Linked DNA regions of Astyanax mexicanus. The protein of the gene in region 1 binds, or shares a complex with, the protein of each later gene. Links are inferred from orthologs where the notes say so. Each region holds a gene or a part of one and is shown in the gene's direction. Other genes may lie near its edges.

The links.
Region 2: exosome complex component RRP40 (region 1) and exosc4 share a complex: the UniProt entries of both Homo sapiens proteins name them as parts of the RNA exosome core complex. The link is inferred for Astyanax mexicanus from reciprocal best matches to the Homo sapiens genes EXOSC3 and EXOSC4.
Region 3: exosome complex component RRP40 (region 1) and exosc2 share a complex: the UniProt entries of both Homo sapiens proteins name them as parts of the RNA exosome core complex. The link is inferred for Astyanax mexicanus from reciprocal best matches to the Homo sapiens genes EXOSC3 and EXOSC2.
Region 4: exosome complex component RRP40 (region 1) and exosc6 share a complex: the UniProt entries of both Homo sapiens proteins name them as parts of the RNA exosome core complex. The link is inferred for Astyanax mexicanus from reciprocal best matches to the Homo sapiens genes EXOSC3 and EXOSC6.

Annotation. Positions count from the first base shown.
Region 1 is NC_064409.1:67,969,498-67,976,444, reverse strand, and holds the start of exosome complex component RRP40, read left to right. Parts: upstream 1-3,928; 5' UTR 3,929-3,992; coding exon 3,993-4,220; intron 4,221-5,642; coding exon 5,643-5,792; intron 5,793-6,053; coding exon 6,054-6,205; intron 6,206-6,947. Other genes in the region: uridine diphosphate glucose pyrophosphatase NUDT22, read right to left, coding at 2,260-2,411. UniProt on the Homo sapiens protein: Non-catalytic component of the RNA exosome complex which has 3'->5' exoribonuclease activity and participates in a multitude of cellular RNA processing and degradation events.
Region 2 is NC_064415.1:9,898,919-9,906,695, reverse strand, and holds the start of exosc4 (exosome complex component RRP41), read left to right. Parts: upstream 1-4,758; 5' UTR 4,759-4,818; coding exon 4,819-4,989; intron 4,990-6,303; coding exon 6,304-6,510; intron 6,511-7,777. UniProt on the Homo sapiens protein: Non-catalytic component of the RNA exosome complex which has 3'->5' exoribonuclease activity and participates in a multitude of cellular RNA processing and degradation events.
Region 3 is NC_064408.1:20,987,624-20,994,465, reverse strand, and holds the start of exosc2 (exosome complex component RRP4), read left to right. Parts: upstream 1-3,819; 5' UTR 3,820-3,885; coding exon 3,886-4,013; intron 4,014-5,420; coding exon 5,421-5,522; intron 5,523-5,604; coding exon 5,605-5,650; intron 5,651-5,801; coding exon 5,802-5,891; intron 5,892-5,996; coding exon 5,997-6,062; intron 6,063-6,164; coding exon 6,165-6,233; intron 6,234-6,572; coding exon 6,573-6,749; intron 6,750-6,842. UniProt on the Homo sapiens protein: Non-catalytic component of the RNA exosome complex which has 3'->5' exoribonuclease activity and participates in a multitude of cellular RNA processing and degradation events.
Region 4 is NW_026040053.1:743,238-750,050, forward strand, and holds exosc6 (exosome complex component MTR3), read left to right. Parts: upstream 1-4,906; 5' UTR 4,907-5,161; coding exon 5,162-5,977; 3' UTR 5,978-6,313; downstream 6,314-6,813. Other genes in the region: slc38a8b (putative sodium-coupled neutral amino acid transporter 8), read right to left, coding at 1,657-1,854. UniProt on the Homo sapiens protein: Non-catalytic component of the RNA exosome complex which has 3'->5' exoribonuclease activity and participates in a multitude of cellular RNA processing and degradation events.

The DNA of each region.
Region 1 (6,947 bases):
ATAGTAAGTCCTTATTTTGAGATGCTCATTATTTTGAGGCAATATGTCATAATTGTCAGATACTACCTTGTAATTTTGAGATACTAAGTCCTTATTTTTAGATGCTCATTGCTTTGAGGTAGTACATCATAATCGTCAGATACTTCCTTGTTTATTTTGAGATAGTAAGTCCTTATTTTTAGATGCTCATTATTTTGAGATAGTAAGTCATAATTGTCAGATACTACCTTGTTTATTTTGAGATAGTAAGTCCTTATTTTTAGATGCTCATTATTTTGAGATAGCAAGTCATAATTGTCAGATACTACCTTGTAACTTTGAGATAGTAAGTCCTTATTTTGAGATGCTCATTATTTTGAGGCAATATGTCATAATTGTCAGATACTACCTTGTAATTTTGAGATAGTAAGTCCTTATTTTTAGATGCTCATTGCTTTGAGGTAGTACATCATAATCGTCAGATACTTCCTTGTTTATTTTGAGATAGTAAGTCCTTATTTTTAGATGCTCATTATTTTGAGATAGTAAGTCATAATTGTCAGATACTACCTTGTTTATTTTGAGATAGTAAGTCCTTATTTTTAGATGCTCATTATTTTGAGATAGTAAGTCATAATTGTCAGATACTACCTTGTTTATTTTGAGATAGTAAGTCCTTATTTTTAGATGCTCATTCTTTTGAGGCAATATGTCATAATTGTCAGATACTACCTTGTAATTTTGAGATACTTAGTCCTTATTTTGAGATGCTCATTATTTTGAGATAGCAAGTCATAATTGTCAGATACTACCTTGTTTATTTTGAGATAGTAAGTCCTTATTTTTAGATGCTCATTGCTTTGAGGTAGTACATCATAATCGTCAGATACTTCCTTGTTTATTTTGAGATAGTAAGTCCTTATTTTTAGATGCTCATTATTTTGAGATAGCAAGTCATAATTGTCAGATACTACCTTGCAACTTTGAGATAGTAAGTCCTTATTTTGAGATGCTCATTATTTTGAGGCAATATGTCATAATTGTCAGATACTACCTTGTAATTTTGAGATACTAAGTCCTTATTTTGAGATGCTCATTATTTTGAGATAGCAAGTCATAATTGTCAGATACTACCTTGTTTATTTTGAGATAGTAAGTCCTTATTTTTAGATGCTCATTGCTTTGAGGTAGTACATCATAATCGTCAGATACTTCCTTGTTTATTTTGAGATAGTAAGTCCTTATTTTTAGATGCTCATTGCTTTGAGGTAGTACATCATAATCGTCAGATACTTCCTTGTTTATTTTGAGATAGTAAGTCCTTATTTTTAGATGCTCATTATTTTGAGATAGTAAGTCATAATTGTCAGATACTACCTTGTTTATTTTGAGATAGTAAGTCCTTATTTTTAGATGCTCATTATTTTGAGATAGTAAGTCATAATTGTCAGATACTACCTTGTTTATTTTGAGATAGTAAGTCCTTATTTTTAGATGCTCATTCTTTTGAGGCAATATGTCATAATTGTCAGATACTACCTTGTAATTTTGAGATACTTAGTCCTTATTTTGAGATGCTCATTATTTTGAGATAGCAAGTCATAAGTGTCAGATACTTCCTTGTTTCTTTTGAGATAGTAAGTCCTTATTTTTAGATGCTCATTCTTTTGAGGCAATATGTCATAATTGTCAGATACTACCTTGTAACTTTGAGATAGTAAGTCCTTATTTTGAGATGTGCATTGTTTTGAGGTAGTACATCATAATCGTCAGATACTTCCTTGTTTATTTTGATATACTATGTCCTTATTTTTAGATGCTCATTATTTTGAGATAGTAAGTCATAATTGTCATATACTTCCTTGTTTATTTTGAGATAGTAAGTCATAATTGTCATATACTTCCTTGTTTATTTTGAGATACTACGTCCTTATTTTTAGATGCCCATTATTTTGAGGTAGTACATCATATAATTGTCAGATACTTACTTGTTTATTTGGAGATACTAAGTCCTTATTTTGAGATGCTCATTCTTTTGAGGCAATATGTCATAATTGTCAGATACTACCTTGTAACTTTGAGATAGTAAGTCCTTATTTTGAGATGCGCATTGTTTTGAGGTAGTAAGTCATAATTGTCAGATACTACCTTGTTATTTTGAGATTAAAGCACATTACACTGAATATTGGCCCTTGTTAGTAATAGGTGTTGAGCTGTGAGATTTGTGTGGTGTGTGAGAAATGCTGAGTTATCTACTGAGCAGGAATACAGAAGGGGTACCTGGTCGATATCTCTGCTCGGATCTGATGTTCTTCCAGACCCTGAGAGGGAGCACAGTGCAGCATCACAGAGACCTCTGGATCCATGGGGTGTTTATGATGTTTCTTATACGTGTCAGGATCTTCTGCACCCTCTGACAGAGCGGCATCCATCTAAACGCACTGAACACACCGGGCTAGCTCAGCTCAGCTGCTACAGATATGCTAGTTCAGAAATGCTAGCCGGCTAGTTACAACTAGCTAACTAAATTAACGTAACCTTCATAATCATCCCCCGGCTGTAAAGAAACCCATGGTCCAGGGCTAAACCTGCAGCTAGATGAGCTGTTGGTGCTCACTGCTCTGATATTACACAACACAGCACAGTGAGAAACAGAGTTAAAAAAGACAGGAAACACCTGAACAAGGAACTGCAGCTTTGTAGTTTTCTAGTTGTATCCCCACCTATATTCCGACAAGTCCCGCCTACTTTACAGTGATTGGCTAAAATCAACCGACAACCGTCCAATACCCTGGTGAGTTGTTTCTTGTTGTGTATTACTCGGTCAGGGATGTCCTGAAACTTTTGATCGGGCTATATTTAAGGATATTTGTGTAACACCATTATACAGCTCAGGAAAAAATGAAGAGACCACTTCATTTTCAGAATCAGTTTCTCTGATTTAGCTATTTATAGGTATATGTTTGAGCAAAATGAACATTGTTGTTTTATTCTAGAAACACAATTCCTCCCAAATTCCAAATAAAAATATTGTCATTTAGAGCATTTATTTGCAGAAAATGAGAAATGGCTGAAATAACAAAAAAAAAAAAAAAGATGCAGAACTTTCACACCTCAAATAATGCAAATAAAAAAAATCATATTCATAAAGTTTTAATATTTGCTGGAATAAACCTGTTTTTTAATTACGGTTTTCATGCATCTTCGCATGCACTCCTCCACCAGTCTTACACACTGCTTTTGGATAACTTTGTTCCACTCCTGGTGCGAAAATGCAAGAAGTTCAGCTTGGTTTAATGGCTTGTGATCATCCATCTTCCTTTTGATTATATTCCAGAGGTTTTCAATTTGCTAAAATCAAAGAAACTCGTATTTTTAAGTGGTTTCTTATGTTTTCCAGAGCTGTACATAATATACAAAAAAATCTTAATTGTATTTGAAACCAAAAAATATATATTAAAAAATGGTTTTTAATCACAGTTTTCATGCATCTTCGCATGCACTCCTCCCCCAGTCTTACACACTGCTTTTGGATAACTTAAGCTTGGTATGATGGCTTGTTATCTTGATTACATTGAGGTTTTCAATTTAGTAAAATCAAAGTAACTACATTTTTAAGTGGTCTCATTTGTTCCAGAGCTGTGCATTATTTTCTAAAAAAAATCTTATTTATATTTAAAACAAAAAAAAAACTATACAATACAATCCAAGAGCATGCAATAATAATAGGTCAAATTCACAGCATATACAATCAACATCACAAACACATCAAAACAAAAACACAAACAAACAACAAACCTAAACAGACAAACAGAAAAAAGTGTGATTCAAACAAAAATTATTGGATTTATGACATTTTTAAGAACTACAGTATTTTTTTTACAGTGAACAGAGGGGGCTGTGTGTGTTGTCTGAGGGGGACTTTTATATTGTAATGCTGTTTCCTGCGCTGTACCGGAAGAGTGTGTGTGGTGTTGTCAGTACTCGCACATGTGCAGGAGCCCTGTGTGAGTATGGAGGCGGTTTACTCCTGTTTCAGAGAGAAGCTAGGGCAGGTGATCTTACCTGGGGACGTGTTCTGCTTCGACGTGTCCGCGGTGGAGGGCAGCGCTGTGCGGGCGGAGCGGGTGATCTGCGGTCCGGGGCTGCGGAGGAACGGGGACGAAATCCTGGTGTACAAAAGTGGGATTCTCCGCCATAAAGCCCCCAACTTGTACTGGATAGACTCCCAGCAGAAGAGGGTAACCTTAACAAACCCCAGCTCACACACATGCTGTCAGTCTATCTGTGTGTTCTGCTGACATGTGAATTTATTCAGTTTCACAGCCGAAGCTCCACACCCAGCTTCTGGTCGGAAATTCCTTGTTGTCCAGATTCGATTCTGACCAGTATCAGTATCAGTATGGGGGTGTGATTCTATTTGAGTTAGATTGTTTAGCTGGACTACAAGCATCATCAACCTAAACAAGCTAACTAGTCAGGTCAACAGTATGATCAAGCTTGATCAACCTGGATGACCAACATCTCTTAACCTCATTCACCATCAAAGACCAGCTTAGACCATCTGAAAACAGCTACCAGCAAAAACTATTCTGGAGTTGGCTGGGTTTTTAGTTTTGAAAAAAGGTCTGACTACAGATTCTTACGTACAGCTCTGAGGAAGAAAATAAGAGAGCACTTAACAATTATTGCTTATTAGTTTCTTTGATTTTAACAGATTAAAAACCTCTGCAATATATTCAAGTGGAATATGGATGTTAAACCTATGTATAAAGTGTTTGATTTTTTTGCACCAGTAGTGGCATAAACTTATCCGAAAGCATTGTGTAAGACTGGTGGAGGAATACATGCCAAGATGCATGAAAACTGTAAATAAAAACCAGGGTTATTCCACCAAATATTGATATCTGAACTCTTAAAACTTTATGAATATGAACGTGTTTTCTTTGCATTATTTGAGGTCTGCAAGCTCTGCATCTTGTTGTTGTTTCAGCCATTTCTCATTTCTCAATAAATGCTCTAAATGACAATATTTTTATTTGAATTTTGGGAGAAATGTTGTTTGTGGAATAAAACAGTGTGTATTTTTCTCAAACATTAACCATATACAAAATCAGAGAAATTGATTCAGCAACTGAAGTGGTCTCTTTTTTTTTTTTTTAGAGCTGTATTACTTTACTGTACTGTAATATATATAACTGTAGTACAGTATCAAAACATATGTTTAGACACACCTTCTCATTTAATGTTTTTCTATATTTATTTTTCTAATATTTATTTTATACATCATAGATTAATATTAAATACATGAAAACAATTAAGAGGGACATGTGAAATTACACAGTAAACAATCCCCTCACCTCAACCCAACCCAATCTCCAGGAACACCGTCCTCAGTGAAGACACTGAGATTAAAATGCCAAGAATGTGCAGATCTGTCCTCAAAGCAAAATGAGCCTACTTAGAAGAATCTAAAGTTTAAAACATATGTGATTCTATATAGCTTTAATGTCTTCAATATTAAATTTACAATGTAAAGAAAATCGTAAAAAGAATGAAAACACATTAAATGAGAAGAGGTGTGTCCAAATTTTGACTGGAACAATATAACTGTTGTGTATATACTGTACATGCTAAATCTTTTAACTGATCATTTTCTCCAGTATGTTCCAGTTAAGGGCGAGAGTGTGATTGGAATAGTGACTGCAAAGTCTGGAGACATCTTTAAAGTGGATGTTGGAGGCAGTGAGCAGGCATCTCTGTCCTACCTAGCGTTTGAAGGAGCCACCAAGAGGAACAGACCCAATGTGCAGGTACAGTACCTTTTGAAAAAAGCATGCTTCACTGCTTACACTGTGTGTTTATAGCAAAATCAGTAGCCCAACATAGTCCAAACTAGTATTTCTTAAGCTTGGTCCTGGACGCCCACATTTTTCATGTGTTTTCATTGTGCCAAACTCACCTAATCCAACTAATGTATCCCACAGAAACAGATATTTTTTTATAACAGATATTGTTATTTAATTATTGCAGCTCATTTAGTTTGTCTGACTGTTTGTTTCTGTGCTTTATAGGTTGGAGATCTGGTTTATGCACAGTTCACTATTGCCAACAAAGACATGGAGCCGGAGCTTGTGTGCATAGATAGCTGTGGGCGGGCCAATGGGATGGGAGTATTTGGAGCGGACGGGCTTCTCTTCAAGGTTTCTCTGGGATTAGTACGCAGGTATGCAGAGTGCCAGCAGCCTAAAAATACGATGATAATGCTGTACACAAAAGACAAGAAAAATACATCAGAAATCTTCTGCTTAGCATTCAGTCTAAATCCTGCAACATTCAGCATTCTAATCAAAGTCTGTTTCATACACAGAAGTTTTCTTAAAGCCAGATAACATGGTGTTTTTTGTACTGCGTAGATAAACACAATCTTTAAATGAATTTGCCATTTTCTGTAAAAATATGCATAAGAATTCAAAGCTATTATGTCTATTTAAATGTTTAAAAAAGCAATAATTTACCTTATTTGTAAAGAATATATATATATATATATATATATATATATATATATATATATATATATATATATATATATATATATACATTTGAATGTAAATAGAAGAATGAATGTTAGAAATGTAAAATGCTATTAAATTAATATTAGTGGTGTTAATTAAAATTATTGTATACTTGTATGTTTGAGGGGAGATAAAGTCAACGTGGGACGCTGAAATAAAAAATGTATGACAAATTGTATAGAGGAAAAACCTTTAAATAAAAACCTTTTTTTATTTTTTATTTTATTGTACGGGTAAACATCTCCGCTTGGTTGTAAGGATTTCTTCATTAGAACTTATTTCACTGAGTATGAAAATCTCAGGAAGTGTTTGGTATTGCACACATTACAGCAGATTACAGTGAAAGTTGGAGTCAAACTTGGTGGCAAAATTATTATTAAAAATAATAATAAT
Region 2 (7,777 bases), on another chromosome or scaffold:
TTTATGCTGTCAGGTTTTAAAGAGGTTTACTTCAGACAGTGGGAGATTTTCAGATCTGACCAAAACTATAGAGCTGTGGGTGGCAGTGGGAGGTGGAAAAGTTATGTAGGCCTGTCATGATAACACACAAATCAAACATATATTATATAATTATGACTACCTTCTTGGTTTTTTACAGCTCCCATGATCATATAGGACACTTTATACACCTCTTTTTAACCTGTTCTTCAATACGCAGGACCCTACAGTAGAGAAAAACACCACAGATCAGCTATTACTATTATTAATTGTGTATTGTGCATTGATTTTTCTCAGCACTGCAGTGATTAGCACTGATTAGCATGGTGAAGGTGGTGTATGAGGTGTTAGTAGTGTGTGTTGTGCTGATGGTACAGTGAGTGGATCAGGTACAGCAGCAGTGCTGCTTGAGTTTTTAAACATTCTGTTCACACACTTGCCTACAGCTGCTCCACCTTCTAGATAAAGTAAAGTCAGAGACAGAAGCTCTGAAGCTGTTGCTACACAGTTTACAGTGTTGGTTTTTATCTAGTGGTTCATCAGTGTTCACAAGAAGATGACTGCATTGAGATGTTTAAAAACTCCAGCAGCACTGCTGCATCTGATTTACTCACTGTACCAACACAACACGCACTACTAATGCCTCATACACTACCACCACCATGCTAATCAGCGCTAATCACTGCAGTGCTGAGAATAATAATGACCCACCACCCAAATAATAATAATAATAATACTAATAATAATAGCTGCTCTGTGGTGGTTTTCTTTTGTGTGGGTTCTGAGTATTAAATAACAGAAATACAGTCTGTAATTATTATAGAACTACAAAGTGTCCTGTTTGATTAGTGGAGCTGATAAGATGGATAATAGGTGTAGAAACAAGTTGTGGTCATAATGGTATGCTTAATTGTTCTATATTGTTGAAAGTAATTGAGCTAAACTATATTGTTGGAATTTTCAGACTACCATATGCCACTGATATATGGATATTATATCATAACATTGCAATAGAACTATTTATTAATAATTCTTAATAGATTTGGAGATCTTCCAGATTTTAAGTTAAAAGTTAAAGCTGGCTCAATTTCTGTTTGTGTTCATTCTTCAACAAACACAGCAAACACACAAGTAAAGGTAATGGACCATATTACAGTATGCAATATGTTTTGAGGTAATTTCCATGTAATAATACATTGATAAGTCAGTAATTGTGATTATCGTGGCAGGTCTACTTCCATGTTTGCCTTAGAAAGCCAAACACTACTGAGCCAACATAATTAGAGATACCCTGTTATATTGGAGTCATATAAGTATTGTACTAATTCGTTTTACTTTAAAAGAAGGAGACTGTTTAAGTTAATGCACAGAAAGACTGTTTACACCTGGTCATTTCATAGAATTTAAATATTAGAATTATATCTGGACACAAGCAAACTATAAACAGATACAAATCGTATAACTCAAACCACTTCAGAAACACTTCCAACACTTCTATCTCAGAAAATTAGAATATTATACAAGACCAGTTGATCTTATTGGGCAGTGTGCCAAGTCCTGCTGGAAAATAAAATCTGCACCTCCATAAAAGCATCAGCAGAGGGGAAACCATGCAGTGCTGTAAGATTTGGATTTCGTTTTCCAGCAGGACTTTGCACACTGCCAAAAGTACCAGTTGGTCTTATATAATATTCCAATTTTCTGAGATACTGAATTTTGGGTTTTCTTTGGCTGTAAGACATTCTCATCAACAAAACAAGAAATAAATGATTAAAATAGATCACTCTGTGTGTAATACGTCTATATAATATATGAGTTTCACATTTCAAACTTAGTTATTTAAAATAATGTAATAAATGCACTTGTAGGTGTTGGATACTCGCCACATGATGTGACCAGGTGTAAACAGGGTTTAAGATGAATACATGATATCTAAATATCTGATTGGATTACTACAGCATTACTAGGAATATATTTATTTAAAGTTTTAAATTAATAATTTTACTGACTTTTTTTGTGCAATACCATAAAAGAACCACTTTTGCTTCCTGATGAATCAAAGAACCATTTTTGGTGGATAAAAACAGATCTCAGAATGGTTCTTTATACTAGCATTTTAATGGTATTACACAAAAAAAACAATGTTTAATCACTTTTAAAGATCTGATTATTTGGAGAAAAAAAATGCTAAACAAGTTTAAAACCTACAAATCACTGTCCAAAAAACAAAATCTTATATACTATTTTTTTTGCATTGTTTGGAACCGGCAGCTTTTTCTTGTATACCTTTACATTGTGTGAACCCTCCATGATAAACGGACCAATAGAATTGCGCCAAATGGGTTAGAATGAAATGCTGTTACACTGACTTTCATTAAAAGCTAAGAAATGTTTTGGCATCTCTTTATAATAAGTGTTACACATTACACATGTAGTTACACATTAACAGTTATGGAATATCATACTATGTAACCACACACTCTGTACCACAAAACGGTACAGAATTATTATATTTGTACCGGTTATGTAACTGGATGTGTGTTTATAGTCATTTTTTTACAATTTGTGTTTTAATAGGGCAAGTGAAATTACATGTCATAATTTGTGTAAATTATCACATGTGATAATGTGTTTGGAATATGTGAATATATTTATATTTCTCCAGGTATTGTCTGGTAATTAGTAATTTAATTACTATTTATGTGTAACTCGTTTTACATTTATGGCCTTTAGCGGATTCTTTTATCCGGAGTGAAGTTGGAGGTGGACCAATGTAGTGTTAGGAGTCTTGCCCAAGGACTTATTGGTGTAGCACAGCATAGTCACCCAGACCTGGAATTGAACCCCAGTCTCCTACATGGTAGCTCAGTGGCAGGTGGTGGTGTTATCCACTGCACCACATCAAATACACCAGTTTTCCAACATTTCCAATATCATTAATTAGATTAATTTAAGGACAGTAGGACAAAATATTAATCTATGTCTAACTGGCACTGATATACATGTAATTACATAACCTGTACAACTGCAATTAATCTTTTATCATTATTATTACATGGTTGTTAATGTGTAACCACACAGGTATTAGAGACACTTATTACAAAGTAGGACTAAAGTTTTTCCTTCTTCTGTTAAGTCGATGTTTTGGAGATGTGCTTTGTTTCTTGGATAGTGATTATTGATTTACACTGACATGCCAAGTGTAATGGAATGGTAAATAATATTCCCATGACTTTTGACCTGTCCAAAACTACTCCGAACTGTGGGATATGTGTGTGGGGTCTTCTGAATCGAATGTGAATGTGATTTCTGCTGGAGTCAATTTAAGTCTGTTTGAATGGACATTTTTTTTTATTTATTAATTTGTGGGCATTTTCAAAGCATTATTTTACATAATGCTATCCCCTGACTTTTGGCATGTCAGTGTAAAACCTGTGGTTTTGTGTTTTTTTAGAGTTCGTCCAAAACCTAAACTCTAAAACTGTTCAATTTAATTGCCCCCCACCACTGCACCCCAGTGTGCCCCTGATTCTGCTGCTGAACCTCAGTCCTCATTTCTTTCTGCTGACAGAATGTAGAGCTGCAGCTCGTAGGGATTCGTATGGTTTGCGAAGCCTGATTTTCTGAGGTACATTCTCACAGACACACTTAACGTTCTGAAGAAAGGATTATAAAAACCTGACTGGGGCCTCAGTCGGCCTCGGCTCCTCTGTATCACATAATTCAGTTCTTCTTGTTCTGCTCATAATGCGTACATGCATTTGTTTCTTATCTCTGTTTTTATTTATACACATTAGAGATGCTAATAAATTTTATTTTTAAAATTGCATGGTATGTTTTATTCTGACGTCTCTATGTTCTAATAACAGTAATGTGCACTTTGGGTGGATAATGCAGTTTGAGCCAAGGATAAAAAAAAAAAAAAAAAAATGTTTTCATTGTGATTTACTGTTGACTTCCCAGCATGACTAAAGACAAAACTTTATTAATTTATTTCTCAGAATAATAATTATTCATATTAAAATTTTCTGAAAATATCTTTTCCAAGAATCAAGAGGAAGATGGATGATCACAAGCCATCAAACCAAACTGAACTGCTTGAATTTTTGCACCAGGAGTAAAGCAGCATAAAGTTATCCAAAAGCAGTGTGTAAGACTAGTGGAGGAGAACATGCCAAGATGCATGAAAACTGTGAATAAAAACCAGGGTTATTCCACCAAATATTGATTTTGGTGTGACGGAAGACAAGCAGAATGAGGAGTTCTGAAGTTACAGGGTTTTTATTTTTAGCTCAGATTCAGCCAAATGCAACAAAACTGACTGGAATGACCCAAAACATACTGTGCAAGCAACCCAGATGTTTTTTTTTTTTTTTTTTTTTTTAAGGAAAATATTTATGAGCAAGGTTGCATACATATACAATTTCTTGTTTGTTTGTTTTTCTCTTGATTGTTTCATATTTATATTTTTTTTATGTAGAATGTATGCAGCTTAAATTAAACATAAATTGTGATATTTATATTATATATCTATCTTTTATAAATTGGAGAACATTGACAGTGCAGCCTACTTGCCATTTATATATAGTTTGGTAAAATAATGTGCTAAAAACTGTACACATTTGTTAAAATTTTGATTTACGTTAAATATGTACTTTTACTTTTTATATATATGTACATATATATGGTAAGGGGGAGCTCGGCCGGCAGGGGGCGTTCGGTGTGCGGTCAGTAGTCGGTGTTTTGGGCTGTGCGGGGACCCGTAGTGCGGGAACACGTGTTGTGTGTGCGGGAGTGATCATGGCGGGTCTGGAGCTGCTGTCGGATCAGGGGTACCGGCTGGACGGGCGCAGGGCGGCGGAGCTGCGGAAGCTGCAGGCCCGGATGGGGGTGTTCGCTCAGGCGGACGGGTCGGCCTACCTGGAGCAGGGAAACACCAAGGCGCTGGCGGTGGTGTACGGCCCGCACGAGGTGAGGAGTGCCCGGGGCAGGGGTAACTACAGCCCGGGGGGGTAACTTACAGCAGGGGAAAGGGGGTATAGAGTAAATAGAACAGTACTGTACTAAACTTTATATTATAATAACTAAAGATGGAATTGCAGTTATAGTGCTTTAATTGTAATGTGCTGGAGTCCCAACACTTCTGTCCATATAGATATAGTGCACCTACACCAACCAAGCATAACATTATGAGATTATGACCACCTTTTTGTTTCTGCACAAAAAACTGTCCATTTTTGCAGCTCCACTGTTTATACAATATATAGCATTTTGTAGTTCTATAATTACAGACTGTAGTTCTGTACCTGTTTCATTGTATACTTTATTATTGTCCTCTAATACTCAGGACCCCTCATGTCACCTTTAGAAGGCGGTCTAATATTTGTATAGACACATGTTATAGGGATGCATCAACATGGGAATTCTGATTACACATTTATAGCTTTATACCTAAGAGGGACTAGACAGTAGGGCTGCAACTGATGATTATTTTGGTAGTCGACTAATCTGATGATTATTTTTTCGATTAGTCAACGATTATTTCTGCCACATTCTCTGTCTTATTTTATAACTATATATTATATTTAATTATAGAAACAGCTGAGTATGAGATCTAAAAGATATATAAACATTCAAATGTTGTTTAAATGTGGAAAGTACTAATTTTTAGTAGATTAGTCCACAATGAAATTTGTAGTCGACAAATATAAATAATCGACATTGTCGATTATATCAACTAATCGTTGCAGCTCTACTAGACACCCCCAGTGTAACTAGAAATAAATGTAACATTTATTTACTTTACATTTTAATTTTTAACCAAGTTTTTCTACCAAAACTTTTCACATATTTTGGCTTTACATTTTATGGTTTCACATTTATTTAGCTAACTGGTCTTTACATAGACTGGTCACAGCTTTGAACTGTCTTTTCTTTTTTTAAATAAATATACCTGTTGAAACTAATTAAAATAATAATAATAATAAAGAATTAGCTTAAATCAATTAATTTTAATGTAGCTTGACCAGTTTTGACCCATTGTAGTAGTGCAGCCAGGTTCACTTGGTAATGTAAAATAATTTATTTCAGGTATTTTACGAGACTTTCTATTAATTCATTCTTCAAGGATTTTTGATGCAGTGTAGAAGACAGTGTGTGTGCTAAAATTATAAATTAAACTAAAAATCAACAAAAAATGGAAGCTAAATGACACTGCACTGAACTGTGAGATGTGTGTGTAGGGTCTCCTACATGTAACATGTATTGATCAGTGTGTACTTACAGGTCAGAGGGTCCCGCAGCAGGACCCTGCACGACCGCGCCGTCATCAACTGCCAGTACAGCATGGCCACGTTCAGCACTGCGGAGAGGAAGCGCCGGCCGCACGGCGACCGCAAGTCCAGTGAGATGAGTCTCCATCTGAAACAGACCTTCGAGGCTGCTGTCCTCACCCAGCTCTACCCACGCTCCCAGATCGACATCTACGTTAAAGTACGGTACATTTCCTGCTTCAGCTTCTACTACCCAACATGGCTAAATAAATACAACACACCCACTGCACATCTAAAAGAGTCGAGGGAAGGGAACCGGGAAAGCAGTACATTTGCAGGACAGTGGGGCACCTGGATCACGATTAAAGGAACCTTGGTTGAGCTGGTCAAATCGCGTGACTAACGTCATTGGTGTTCATTCCTGGTTCAGGAGATATATCATATTGTGTTATTTGCTCCTCATTTATGAGGCAGTAATTTATCTGCACCATTCAGTTAAACATGAGTCAACATGAGAGAGGCCTTCGGTTTCTTAGGAGTTATCTTGGGGTCCTTTGTGACCTCTTGGAGTGGTCTTTGTTGGTAGACTATTTTTTGGGGAGAGTAACAATGGTTTTGAACTTCCTTCATTTGTACACTATAATCTGTTTTACTGTGGATTGCTGCAGTCCAGCCTCTTTAGATGTGGTTTTGTAACTTTTCTAGACTAATGAGCATCTACAGCTCTTTTTCTGAGGTCTTTAGGAATCTCCTTTGTTCGTACCACTATACACTTCCACAAACATGTAATGTGAAGAGCTGACTATATCCTCCTGAGGCCTGGACATAAGCCTGACATTTTTTACTTTCTCCTAGGTATTTGGGATTACTAGGACCTAAAAAGTATAAATACTAAACTTTGTCCTTGTACAGGAAGTCATTTTTGCTAAATTTTAACATTTAAAAAAGACCCTTTCAATTTGGGATCAGAAGGACAAGATTAGTGCAACAGCTAAATGTTAGCTTTCTACAAAAATAGAATAAACTAATTTCAAACATAAAAGTGGAGGATAATTTTTACCTGGCCCATGTTTCTGTCTGGAATGGCTGTAAAAACCTTTGACTGGGCTTCCCGCCGATTGGTTTTCAACCAATTTAGTGTAATGTTGTCATGTTGAGTCCACTTTATGGTACGGGCAGTGTCTCCATATGAGGCCAAAGGGTCAATGTTTTAAAAAAGCTTGGTGCAGAGAAGCAGAACTGTAATGTCCACATATGAGGACACTGGGTCTCAAGAGGTTAATAGATCCCAGTTCTGTACATAGAACAGGCTCTGCCCACTCTCACCTGATTTCACCTTTAAAGTAACTGCTTATCCTAGAGGTTCACATACTTTTGCCACTCACAAATATGTAATATTGGTCCTTAATAATAAATGACAAAATATAATTTACTTTTAGGACTTGAAACTGTGAAAATGATCTCATGTTTCAGATCAAGATATTTAT
Region 3 (6,842 bases), on another chromosome or scaffold:
GAAATCATCACATGCTGTAATTATTCCACGTGAAGTTTAAACAGTCATATGCTAAAATTTTATCCCCTCTGGGCAAAGTACTGTACATGGAAAATAATGGATTTTATGCCAAAAAAATCTCAGCTCAAAAAACTAAATAAAAAACTTCAACTCTACAGTAGAAGGAACATTCTTCTTATCATACAATGAAAATCATGTATTAAACACCTTTGTTCCTAATAAAAAAAGTAATTTAATAATATAAGATAAGCCTTTATTAATCACACAGTGGTAATATTTGCAATGTTACAGAAGTGCAGAAAACAATTAATACTGAAGACATCAGAACTTTAAAGGAACACCTTTTAAACTTTGAAACGATTTAGTGTCGGAATTTCACATATGAAGGAATGTTAAATAAAGGTGGTTTTAATGCAACCAAAAATGTATGTTTATTTAATGTTCCTTGTATCAGGGCTGGTTTACAAGTGGAGGCCACATCTATGTTCAATACATACCAGGTGCTGGTCAACGAATTAGAATAATTTGAAATAGTGAAATCATGACATTTTTTGAATGCATTTTTTGTGCAGAAAGCAAATCAGGTGTTCACCGCACCTGTCCTACTCGTTAGACTAATCACAGAACTCGTTACCTGGAAAAAAATTTGCTCAGCTGAGCTTTCCAAAAGGCCCATTTAGGCCATTTAACTGTGACACTGTTGTTTTATTGAATTAGAATAATGGACAAACCGTTTCATTGAATTAGAATAAATGCTCGAATTTTTGTTTTCTGTGAAGAGTGTTCACTGTGCAGTATAAAGTCAGGGTTGAGTAGAATTTCTAAGTTGTAAAATCAATCATGGGTAAGCAGCGTGACCTCTCAACCGGAATAGTGGCTCAAATTCAAGCCCTTCGCCAACAAGGCTTGACCCAAACTAAAATTGCTGAGCAGCTCGGCATCAGCCAGTCTTCCGTCTGCAAAGCTCTCAAGAAAAACTGCAGCAAGCGCACCAACTGTTCCGGCGTCCGAAAAACTTCTGCTCGCGACAACAAGCAGCTGAGAAAGATCGCAGTCAGCAACCGGTTCAAGTCCACTCCCGAGCTCACCGACTTGTGGAACAAGCAGACCGGCGCTGACGTCTCCAGATCAACCACTTACCGTCGTCTGCGCGAACTCGGCTTCAAATCTCGCGTTCCAGCAGTAAAACTGATGCTGAACAAGAAACAAATGGAGAAACGGCTGAAGTGGGCCAAAGAACACGGCGAGTGGACTGCTGAAGACTGGCAGAAAGTGGTCTTCAGTGACGAATCACGCTTCTGCATCTCCTTCGGTGACCAAGGTCCTCGTGTCTGGCGTCGTGGTGGCGAAACCTACAACCACGAGTGCGTGAAAAGATCCGTCAAGTTTCCCCAGAGCGTTATGGTCTGGGGATGCATGTCCGCTCGAGGTGTAGGGAAACTCTGCTTCCTCAAGAAGACTGTCAATGCTGCCGTATATCAAGATGTTCTGGAAACGTTCCTGATTCCGACTGTTGAGGAACAGTTCGGCGAAGAAGACTTCATATTTCAACAGGATCTTGCACCGGCTCATGCGGCAAAGTCGACCAAAGATTGGTTCACTAAAAAACAGCTTGAAGTTTTGGCATGGCCGGCCAACTCGCCTGACCTCAATGTCATTGAAAACCTTTGGGCCATTGTCAAGCGGAAAATTCGCGACAGAAAGCCTACTACGCTGGACCAACTGAAGCAGAACATCGCCACTGCCTGGGAAGCTGTGAGTGCGGAAACTTGCGACAAGCTGGTCAAATCGATGCCGCGGAGACTTCAGGCAGTCATACAAGCCAAGGGGGCAGCCACAAAATACTGAGAAAGTGATGATTGTAATTATAATAAAAATTATTCTAATTCAATGAAACGGTTTGTCCATTATTCTAATTCAATAAAACAACAGTGCCACAGTTAAATGGCCTAAATGGGCCTTTTGGAAAGCTCAGCTGAGCAAATTTTTTTCCAGGTAACGAGTTCTGTGATTAGTCTATCGAGTAGGACAGGTGCGGTGAACACCTGATTTGCTTTCTGCACAAAAAATGCATTCAAAAAATTTCATGATTGCACTATTTCAAATTATTCTAATTCGTTGACCAGCACCTGTATATGGTGAATATGGTGCTGTTTTTACCTTTATTTATCTTTTATTATTTTATTATTATACAATCTATATTTTGTTGTAAAAAGGTTTTAAATAATTGTAATGCTTGTAAATGCTTTTAGGAATATAATAATCTTATCTGTATTACTTTTTAAAGCAATAGTTTGTCAGTGCATTAGCTGCTGTGCTGTGACATATGTTGATGTAAAAAGGGCTATGAAATTAATTTATTTGAAAACAGACTCAGTTTGCCAGACAGGGGTTAAGCCTAGTGTTTGATTATAGAACGTTTTAAATTTAAATGTTCTGCTAAATGCTTACTGACTCAGTTTAACACATGTTGGGGGAAACACAGCTCTACAGCCCCCTCTAGCGCCACACAGAAAAATCACGTTTTAAGACAGGACAGTGTATTTGGATAGTGAATGTGTCCTTTGTGTACATTATAATGTAAAGGGTAAAGGACACTTGCTTCTCATTATATGTGTCTACACTATATATATATATATATATATATATATATATATATATATATATATATATATATATATATATATATATATATATATATATATATATAAATAAAAACATTAAATGAGAACGAGTGACCAAATATATGAATGGTACTGTAGTATAAGTTGCATACAGTTGTACAGGTATGTGTGCTCTGTTTATTTCAATAGGGTTTATATAAGCTGAAGTGTTTTTCTTTCTTGTTATGGGTTTGTGTTTAAACCCAAAAACATTTTTTTTGACTTTTAATGATTGTTTAGAAATAATTTTTAATTTTGAGATCTGTAGCTAGAATTGTACACTGCACTCTGTGGGGGCACCAAAGCCTAAAGTGCCTTCCACTGTTACACCCACCTCCCCAAGCACAGATTCTATTATTCACGTGGGCTGAATGTTAATATATAAGTGCTTGGCCTTAATTTGGCCTCTTTTAAATAGTCTTAGACATTGATTTGAGATATTTTTTTGTAATTTTGCAGGCTGCCAATTGTTTTTACACAGTATGCCCTTTCAGAAAATCTGTAGATTACATTTTACTATTAGGGTACTTATAGTGCACTTTTAGTGCATTATTAGTGTACAGTACAAGTCAAAAGTTTGGACACACCTTCACATTCGATGTTTTTCTTTATTTAATGTATTATCTACATTGTAGATTAATATTAAAGACATGAAAACAATTAAAGGGCACGTATGGAATTATGTAGTTAATAAAAAAATTGTTTGTCCTCCACAATCCCCTCATCTAAACGTGATTAACTGAGATGGTGATTTTGGATGAGCTGCCTGGAGCTTTAGCAAATATTGTTCAGCGTCGTTAGGAACTCTTTTAACACGCTGAGAAAACAATTTCAAGTGACTCTACGTCATGAAGATACTGAGATTAAAATATTAAGAGTGTGCAGATCTGTCCTCAAAGCATTTTCTGGTTTGTTTAACACTTTTTGGTTTCCAGAATAATTCTGCATGTGTTCCTGTATAGCTTTAAATTGTCTTCAATATTACAATTTTACAAAAAAAAAAAGGTGTGTCCACATGTTAGACTGGTCATGTATTTTGTGCTAAAATGCTGTTGGTTTTGGTATTAGTCCTCGTAGCTTGTGCTTGTTCTATGGTTTCTGGCGGAGTCCCTCTTTATACCAGCAGTGGCCACACGTGGCAGGAGTCTCCCAGTCTGTAGATGTTGGTGTTTCAGAGAAGAAGAGCTCAGCCATTTTAGAAAACACAGCTCTGTGGGACAGCATGGCTGTGGATATGAGATTACCCACTGCCCGAAAACTCATCTCCCTGCCCGGCTCTCTGTCTAACGCTGAGGGTAAACACCTGGTGGTCCCGGGAGATGTGATCACATCTGATACAGGGTTTATGAGGTAAATATGCGCTTAAACAAACCTGCAGGAGGACCACAGGTCTGATCTGACTAGCCTGCTATCCCTACATTAACTAACCTAACCAGGCTAAATTAACTAATATCTGTGTTTTTGCTTCGGTGTCACTGTCTGTTCACCAGCTAAGAGTTAAGATAAGTAACGTGTGTGGCCTGTACCAGTAGCTCGACTGAGAAACACAAACATTTATTTTGTGTATGGGTTCAGTGTTGGCCCCACATATGGATGTTAGTTAGTGATGGGACCAGGCAGGAGGGGATTGGTCAGTGTAAGTTAACGTTTAGCAGTTTAATTTTCTGACCGTATCAAGCTAAATTCAAAAATACAAAATTGAGTATAAAACCTTTTTTTCCATTTAGCATAGTGAAGAAGAAATGTGTTTTGGTCAGTGTTACGTTTATTAGTTAAATTTTCTGACCGTTATAGGCTAAATGCAAAAAAATAGAAAATTGCAAGTAAGAACTCATTAATTCTTTTTTTTAAGTGTAGTGTACAAGAAATAAGTTTTCATACATTTTTCCAATGTTAGTTTTTTAATCTTTGCCCCTTACAATTATAATTTCAGGAAAAAAAAATCTTTTATTTTTAATTTTTTGCATTTTGCAAGTTGGATTATAACATCAGATTTGTGTTACATGATACAAAAATGGACAAATCTGAAAATCGAGAGAAGATTTAACTTTTTATTTTCTTGAAATTCTGTTTGCGAAAGGCTGAAATAAAAAAAAACTCAATAATTGAAAAATGGGATGCAAATCTATTTCTTTTCAGCAAATTAAATTGCTAAACGTTACACTGACCTATTTTTATCTTTTTTTTTCAATTATCTTGTTTTTGTTTTGGCTTTTTCACAACTGTACATTTTATTACAGAGAGTGTTAATAATGTAAAAATAAAAAAAATGTTAAAATCCTGTTTATTAGATGATGTGCCGCAAAAGCAAAAAAAAATCTATTCAATTGAATTATGTGCAACAAAAATTACTGTATTATGCATGAAAGATTATCTGAACAGCAGAATCTTTCTCTGCTGATGCATTTTGTCTGCCTGTTAAAATATGATTATTACTGTTTTTTGTAATACAATATTTTTATTTTTTATTTAAACAGTGTCAGTATATCACCATGCTTACTTTATTGCAATATATTAATGATATTCAGTGATATTGAATCATAACCCCTAGATCAGGCCTGGGCTTTTTAAGGCTGGGGTAGTGGGCCTTTTCATACAAAGCCCTTCACTTATTACGCATCAGTACTGCTTGGGTGGTAAAAACAATAAGAACAACAATAACCCATTTTTTAACCCCCGGTCCACTTTTTAACGCATGTGAATGCATACTTTTTTACGTAAATGTTATGTACTTAATTTCTCACTTCCTGTCTTCAGGGGTCATGGAACCTACATGGATGATGAGAAGCTCACAGCCTCAGTGGCTGGGGAGGTTGAACGTGTCAACAAGCTGATCTGTGTGAAGCCACTGAAGACACGGTCAGTGGTCTTCTGAATGCTGTGTCTAAAACATTACAATTAACATGTATAAGATTTAATATTCTTTGGGTGTTTTTTACAGGTTCAATGGTGAAGTTGGTGATGTGGTGGTTGGCAGGATAACAGAGGTACTATGTTTATGTTTAGAGTTCTCAAAATTCTTACATTCTTTCATACATTTTTAGAAGCACTGTAATTTTAAAATTAGTCATAAGCCTCATCCCTCACAGAAATAAGCAACATTCTTCTCAATCATCTTTACCTATTCTTTCACTGTAGGTTCAGCAGAAACGTTGGAAAGTGGAGACCAACTCTCGGTTGGACTCTGTATTGCTTCTGTCCTCAGTAAATCTTCCAGGAGGAGAGTTGGTGAGCTTAAATACTGATTTAATAATGTTTTTATATAAAAATATTGCATTGTTGTTTGAGTTGCGTTGAGCTGTAATAAATACTGTAAACCCTATTTATTCACAGAGGAGGCGATCAGCAGAAGATGAGCTCACCATGAGAGATTATCTTCAAGAAGGGGACCTCATCAGTGTATCCTGAAAGTAGTGATTGTTTTAAAATAGTGAAATTATGTAATTAAATAAGACTGTGTTATTTTTGATTATGTAGAAAATTTAACTTAACTTGTTCAAGGCAGAGGTACAGTCCGTCTTTTCAGATGGAGCTCTTTCGCTTCACACCCGCAGCTTGAAGTATGGCAAGGTACGAACAACAATTCTTCAGTATGATTTTATGAAACTCAACTGAGAAATATTGATTGAAAAAAATATTGATTTTATAATTTATTGTTTGCTCAAGTCAGTGTAATTGTAGGTACTGTTGAGAGCTTACTTTCATTTTGATAAAAGAAAAATGGACATTAATGCAAAGTTAAAATTTACAGCTCAGGTGCCCATTTATGAATGTAGCTTTAGCTTTTAGAAGAAGTTAATTGACAGGTATATGTTTACCTATTTAAAAAGAAGGTTTAAAATGCATCTTAATATTTGCGACAGTGATATTTCAGTTTACTTGGCCTGATTTGTGTTTTTCCATTCTTAGTTGGGACAGGGTGTACTGGTGCAAGTATCACCATCTCTTGTGAAGAGACAGAAAACCCATTTCCACAATCTGCCCTGTGGAGCTTCCATAATCCTGGGGAACAATGGCTTCCTTTGGCTGTACCCTACACCAGGGCATCAAGATGAAGAGGCAGGAGGATACTACACAAGCCTGGAGGTCAGGAGAACATGATTTTATTAATGGTTGAAAACATAATTTTTTTTCAGCATGTTTTATACTGTGTTTAGAAGTCCATCTGTGTTCAGATTT
Region 4 (6,813 bases), on another chromosome or scaffold:
CTGACTTATGTGTAAAACAGATCATAACGAAAATATTTGTTTTATTGATTTTAAAAAAGCTTTTGATACAATTTGTCATAACGGTCTATTCTATAAAGGGTAGGACCCCCCATATAGCATTACAGTACTACATGTATATGCAGCACAAATACGAGCTGTTTTTACTGTTTGTAGTTCGGTTGTAAAACTGTAATTTTCACTAATGTAAGAACAATAAGAAACATGATGAGAAAAATCAGTTCACATACACAGAGGAAACAGAAATGTATTTATTATGTATGTATTTGAAGGTCAGTGATTCTCAGGTGATGAAGCTGTGCTAAATGCTGCAGTTTGTGTTTAGTGATTAGTAAAGCTGTGATTTATGATGATATCTGAGTGAGAACATGTGGAATTGAGTTTAGAGTTGAGCAGTTTGGAGTCACAATGTGACACATGAGCTTCATGTTTTTGGATTTGTGTGCATAGTTTCATATTTTGTGTTTATAAAATGTGGAAAAACTGTATTATTTCTATTATTATTATTATTATTTATTTTAGTTTTTTATGTTTGTAAAGCTGTTCAAATGGTTTATCAGTATTAAATTGATTTAATGTTTATGTATTTAATTTTGGTTATCTGTATTCCTTAATGTTCAGAAAGTTCACTTGTGTTGTATTAATGCTTTGGCCACACTATTAAACATGGACAATAAAGCTTATTGTATTTAACTAATAAAGAGAGAGAGAGAGAGAGAGTCATTAGTGGTAAACTGTGAGAAACACCATCACTTTCTCACCACAGTACGAAAGTCTGACACAGTAAACACACACACTCTTTATACACACATTATACACACACACACACACACACACTCCTGCAGTCTTTATGTAATGAACAGATTCCTACTATAGATCTGCATCATGGTCTAATTTCAGTGGAGGCTGAATTATATTGTAAATATATTTCTCCTGTAATGATAAAGACATGTAGACTGTTTGTACATTTACCGCTTGTTTTATGTCACATTGTTTTAATGTGTTAAACCACCTATTTTTAGTTGGACAAGACATTAAAACAACCAGTAAATGTTTATATTACCAAGAAAATATAATCCTCTTTTCCTATCTGAAGATTTATCTATCATATCCTGAATTTACAAACATAAGACTTTAAATTCATTAAAAGATAAATCAACCCCAACTCCATGTATGTTTCTGTTTTTCCTATAAATATTAAACATTGCATTGCTATTGGATAATAGGATTTGTTTGGTTATAAAAAAAACTCCACCAGTTAAAATAGTTCCATTGCTGCTCTGTTTGTAGCTGTGCTGTTTGGTTTGTAAGCGCTGCATCGCTGCTAGGTTACCTGTATGTGGCGGAGTAATACATGAAGAGCTTCGGTTACAGTGCATTACCGGCTGATAACGGTACTCATAGAACGGCTCTTAGCCAATCACATCGCAGGGTCGGTACTAATGGTGGTATAATTTAAATATTCCCATTATGTTTATGTTTGTGTATGTGTATATGCACATATATGTGTGTTTGTGTGTATAGTGTGTATAGTGTGTGTGTGTGTGTGTGTGCGTGTGTCTCCTGCATTGGAGAAGTTCAGTCTGGATTGTGTGTGTGTGTGTGTATAGTGTGTATAGTGTGTGTTTGTGTGATTACCAGTTCCACGGTGATAGCTCGGTTGATGCCCCCCGCTCTCTGAAAGGCCCAGGGGAAGTTGAGCAGTCCGGCTCCGAGCGCGGATTTCAGCATGATGAACACGGCGCCGAACGAACCGAGCCGCGGAGCCTCCGTACCGCGCGCGGGTTTGGCCAGCACGCTCAGGCTGCGGATGCTCTCGCGCGCCAGTTCCTCCATAGTGACTCGCGCTCCAAACCGCACGCGCACGGAGCAGGACGGACAGCACGCGCGCACGGAGCAGAACGGACAGCACGCGCACACGGGGAAGGACAGACAGCACGCGCGCACGGGGCTCCTCTTCCTCCGTGGAGATAACGGAGATCTGACACGGCGGGTCTGAGTCTGATGGATAAGCGGCGCGAGCCCGGCGCGCGCTCCATTAAGACCCACTTTAAAATGTCTCACCTGTGTGAGACATGTAGCACAGGTATGTGAGCCCGGCGCGCGCTTTGAAGATGCCAGACCTGTGAGCACGTGCCCGCTCCGTGCCCGGGGTCACCTGACACTATAACACACCCGCGTCAACTAACTGACCACGTGCCAGAGTGTACACTATAGTGCACTATAGGGGTGATCACTCCCTGTCTCTTCTAAAACCGAGACTATTAAACACAGTTTATCCTGCTTTTATTGGAGTAACTGTCTTTACTGTCCAACTCCAACTAATAATAGATAATAAATAATATTAATAGAGTTAATAATCCAGCTGTGTGTAATTTAGTCTCAGTATAAATACAGCTGTTCTGTGAAGAGCTCAGTGGTTTATTAGTGAACACTAGTGAACAAACAGCATCATGAAGACCAAGAAGGAAGAACTCAGCAGACAGATCAGAGATAAAGTTTTGGAGAAGAAGTTTAAAGCAGAGTTAGATTATAAAAACATCTCCCAAAAACATATATTCTACTACTGTTTCAACAAACCTACAAAGACATGAACCAACCATCCACCCAAACTAACAGATCCAGCAAGGAGAGCACTGATCAGAGAAGCAGCCGAGACCCATGATCACTCTGGAGGAGCTGCAGAGATCCACAGATCAGGAGAATCTGTTCACAGAACAACTATAAGTCCTGCTCTCCACAAATCTGATCTTTATGGAAGAGTGGAAGAAGAAAAACATTGTTAAAAGAAACAAGAATTGCTGTTTGCAGTTGCAGCATATCAGAGAATCAGAGAATATTCATGTGTTAGAATGATCCAGTTAAAGTCTACAGTCTCTAGATGATTAAAGCTGGTAGAGACTAAACCCTGAAAAACCTGAAGCTGTAACTTCAGAGAAAAGTGTCTCTACTAAGTATTGATATAGGGGGATGAATACTTTTGCACGCCACCCTTTTAGATTTTTATTTGATAAAACATTCAAAAAAACATGTATCATTTTCATTTCACTTCACATGTATGCATTACTTTATGATGGTTTATCAAGTTTGTGTATTTAAGGAGAGAAAATGTGGAAAAGTTTAAAGGGTATGAATACTTTTGGAAGCCACTGTAAATATATTCTGATTTGCTTTGGAAAATTATTGTGGCTATGTGGAATGTGGCTAAATGGAGCTAAATGATAAAACATAGTAATTAACTGCTTGTCCAGGACATTCCTTTAATTTTATAAAATAAAATTAAGTATTTTAATATAAAGTAAACAGATCAGATAATAGAAGTGCAGCACTGCTTACGAGATTAATAGAGTTTATTATACTGGAGTTTAAAAGCTTTAAGATCAATTAAAACAGTACATTTAGTTCTGTGTGAGGAAACCAGCATCAGCTCACCAACAAGTCAGCTCTCTTTTACTGTGTAAAAATATAAAAATATAAATATAATATACAGGTCATTTTATTTGTTTATTTCTGGAATTTGCTGGAAAAGTAGTTTTAATACAAATTTACAGTCAGTTGAAAATGGCAACACCTGTAGAACACGGAATACAGGACATTTATTATTATTACTACAGTATTGAGAATGAAGTTGGAAGGGGCGGGGTTACAGGACAGAGTGAGCAGGTGGAGGATGTATTTAATAGAAAGCGCCTACAGAACACACAGGACTCTACAGCGCATTATATTATATAAATAATCATACTGACGGGACGTGTGTTTATCAGTGTTCTAAACACAACATAGAAAACACAGAGACTGACTGCACTACCAGAGGAAAAACTCACTCAGTTCAGTCTGAAGGTAATAAAGTTAAATACAGGTCTGTTTGAAATACTTGAGTAGTTTCTTGAAAAATGCGGGACTAATTGACAGGATTCGTTTTTTTTAATATTATCATTATTATTGTTATTATTATTACTATTGTTATTTTTATTATTTTTTGTTTGTTTTTGTTTGTTTAGTTAATTTTTTTAACCTGACGCACAGTCCAGATGATTTATAGAATAAGTCAACAAATTTTAAATTTACAGTTCACCTGGGCTCCAGCACACAGGGAAATGAGAAAACAGACGAGTGGAAAATGAAACTCAGAAATCAAAACAAGCAGAAGTACAGGTTCCAGCAAATTAGAATTAAAGCAATAATCAAACACGGGGATCATAAAATCTGGCGAGACAAATGGGATAAGGATGAGAAAAGCAGGTATTTATACAGTAAACAAGAGTAATAACAGTCAGCTAATTCAGTTCACTCCAGGATAAGATTAGGAGAACATGAGACCGGTGTTCATACTATAATAAACTGAAACCGTAAAGCGTGCGCTGTTTACATACAGGAATTACTCTAAAGAGAGAGAGAACGTCTCAAGAGGATAAGAAAGAACTACAATAACAACTTAGAGTTTAAGTGGTAGAGACTACAGTCAAAGTAATCATAGAGTTTATAAAAAACACTTGCAAGAAGACTTTAGTATGTTTTTATTATTTTATTTTATTATTGGGCATACCAGCCCAACCAAGGTTCAATATCATAGTACAATGATATAATATGTCTAATAATATTATTATATATATTAATATACAGTCTTTTTAGTTGAATATTATTTTTTGTGATTAATAGTATTTTCTGCAGTCAGAAGGAGTATGAATAATATTTTATATATGTACAGTATGTATGAGTATGTATTTTCATAGTGTGGTGTTTTTTGGCAGGAATGCTTTCTCTCCTTCCCATCTCTCTGATTGGTTGTTTCAGGGTTGTTTCCGCTGTCGGCACTAATCTCGCGAGATTAGTGACATTTCAGTTTGGAGGGGCATATAAATGTTTTTTTTGTTTTTTTTAAATATAATACAGAAAATTTACGGAAAACATTATCCGGGAGGACGGGGGGAGAGAGGGGTAAAATACGGTAGTTTTCCGGTCAAAACGGGAGAATTGACCGGTATCCCGGTGAGATTACACCTCAGTCCAGCAGGTGGCGGTAATGCGCTGAGATTGCAGTCTGCCAAAAAACAAACCCAGAAGAAGAAGAGCGGTGTTGCGTGGGTTTGTTTGTAGTCGCGCACGCGGTGGAGGAGCGCGTGAGCCCCGTGTAATAGCCAGAATGCCGGTAGATACGAAGCGCGTGCGCGGACCGGAGGAGTCTCAGTGCCCGCTGCTGTTTCTGCCCCCCGCCGCGCAGACCGCGGAGCCCCGGGAGCCGCGCGCGGGCCGCGGGAACGGAGAGGTGCGGCCGGTGTTCGCGCGCTGCGGTCTCGTGAGCCAGGCGAAGGGCTCGAGCTACCTGGAAGCGGGGAACACTAAGATCCTGTGCTCGGTTTACGGGCCGCGCGAGCCGGAGCGGCGGGACGAGGCCGGGGTGCGGAGCGGCCGCCTGCTGTGCGACCTGCGGCTCGCGCCGTTCTCCTGCGGGAAGCGCGGCGCGTGGATCCAGGGCAGCGGGGAGCGGGACCTGTCGCTCGCGCTCTCCGAGAGCCTGCACCCCGCCGTGTGCCTGCACCGGTACCCGCGCGCGCAGATCGAGGTGAACGTGATGGTTCTGGAGAATGACGGCTCGGTTCTGGCGCACGCGGTGACCTGCGCCTCCATGGCGCTCGCGGACGCCGGTATCGAGATGTACGACGTGGTCCTGGGCTCCGCGCTGCGGCAGGACGGCGGCGCGAGCCTGGTGGACCCGGACCTCGCGGAGGAGCGGGGCAACTGGCTCGCGGGCTACGAAGAGAACCGGGGCGGCGTGACGCTCGCGCTCCTGCCCAACCTGAACCAGGTGTCGGGACTGCACGCGGACGGGGAGCTGCGCGCGGACACGCTGAGCGCCGCCGTGCGCACGTGCATGGAGAGCTGCCATAAACTGTATCCGGTGGTGCAGCAGGCCATCCTGCGGGCCGTGAAGAGAAAAGCCCCGCCCCCTGAGAAATAATTCGTATATACCATAATAAACCTGTTTACACTGCAGGGTCGGAACCGGTTTATGCATCACATGACTGGCGGCAGCAATTCTTGTTGTTCACACTGTGAACCAATAGAAATGCTTCAAATAACTTTAAATAAAATGTTTTTTTTTTTTTTTTTAAACATTCCCTTCCACTGAAAGTTGTTTTGGAGATACGAGTTTTCTGTGTGAGAATAGTGAGGATGCACCGAATCAAAAATAGTTTGAATCAAAAATGGTTTATTATGTTTGTATTTTATATCACTAGAAAATAGTTTTTACATTTATGTAAAAGCTGTGTAACAATAAAATACTTAAAAAATATGTAAAAGTATTCAGACAGTCTTATTTTCTTACACCACAGGTTTCTCTTACGGCTGTTTAGCACTGTTATTATAATGTGTACATGTGCAATAGTGACATCATTAAGCATATTCTATAATGTGACATTTAAGTTTGAAATTATTTTTCCTGATTTATCTGAACCAGTTTAACCAAGGTTCTGGTTCAGGTTCTGGTTCAGGTTCTGGTTCTGGTTCAGGTTCTGGTGGGACTACAGCAAGAGTTGGGCACTAGGGGTTGGATAAAATATTGTTTGCAATACATAATTAATATAATAAAATATACGTTTATTGATGGAAACAATCTATTCTGAGCTACAAAAACATCAGCTCAGAGTTAATTCAGATTGTGTGACAGATTCATTTTAGATCTACTATAATACATTTTAATTTTTACTGCGGTGAAGAATATTGGTTGTTAAATTGTGTGAAATTTAAACACCAGTAAATGCGTAATTGCTTGTATTTGATTATTTAGGAGAA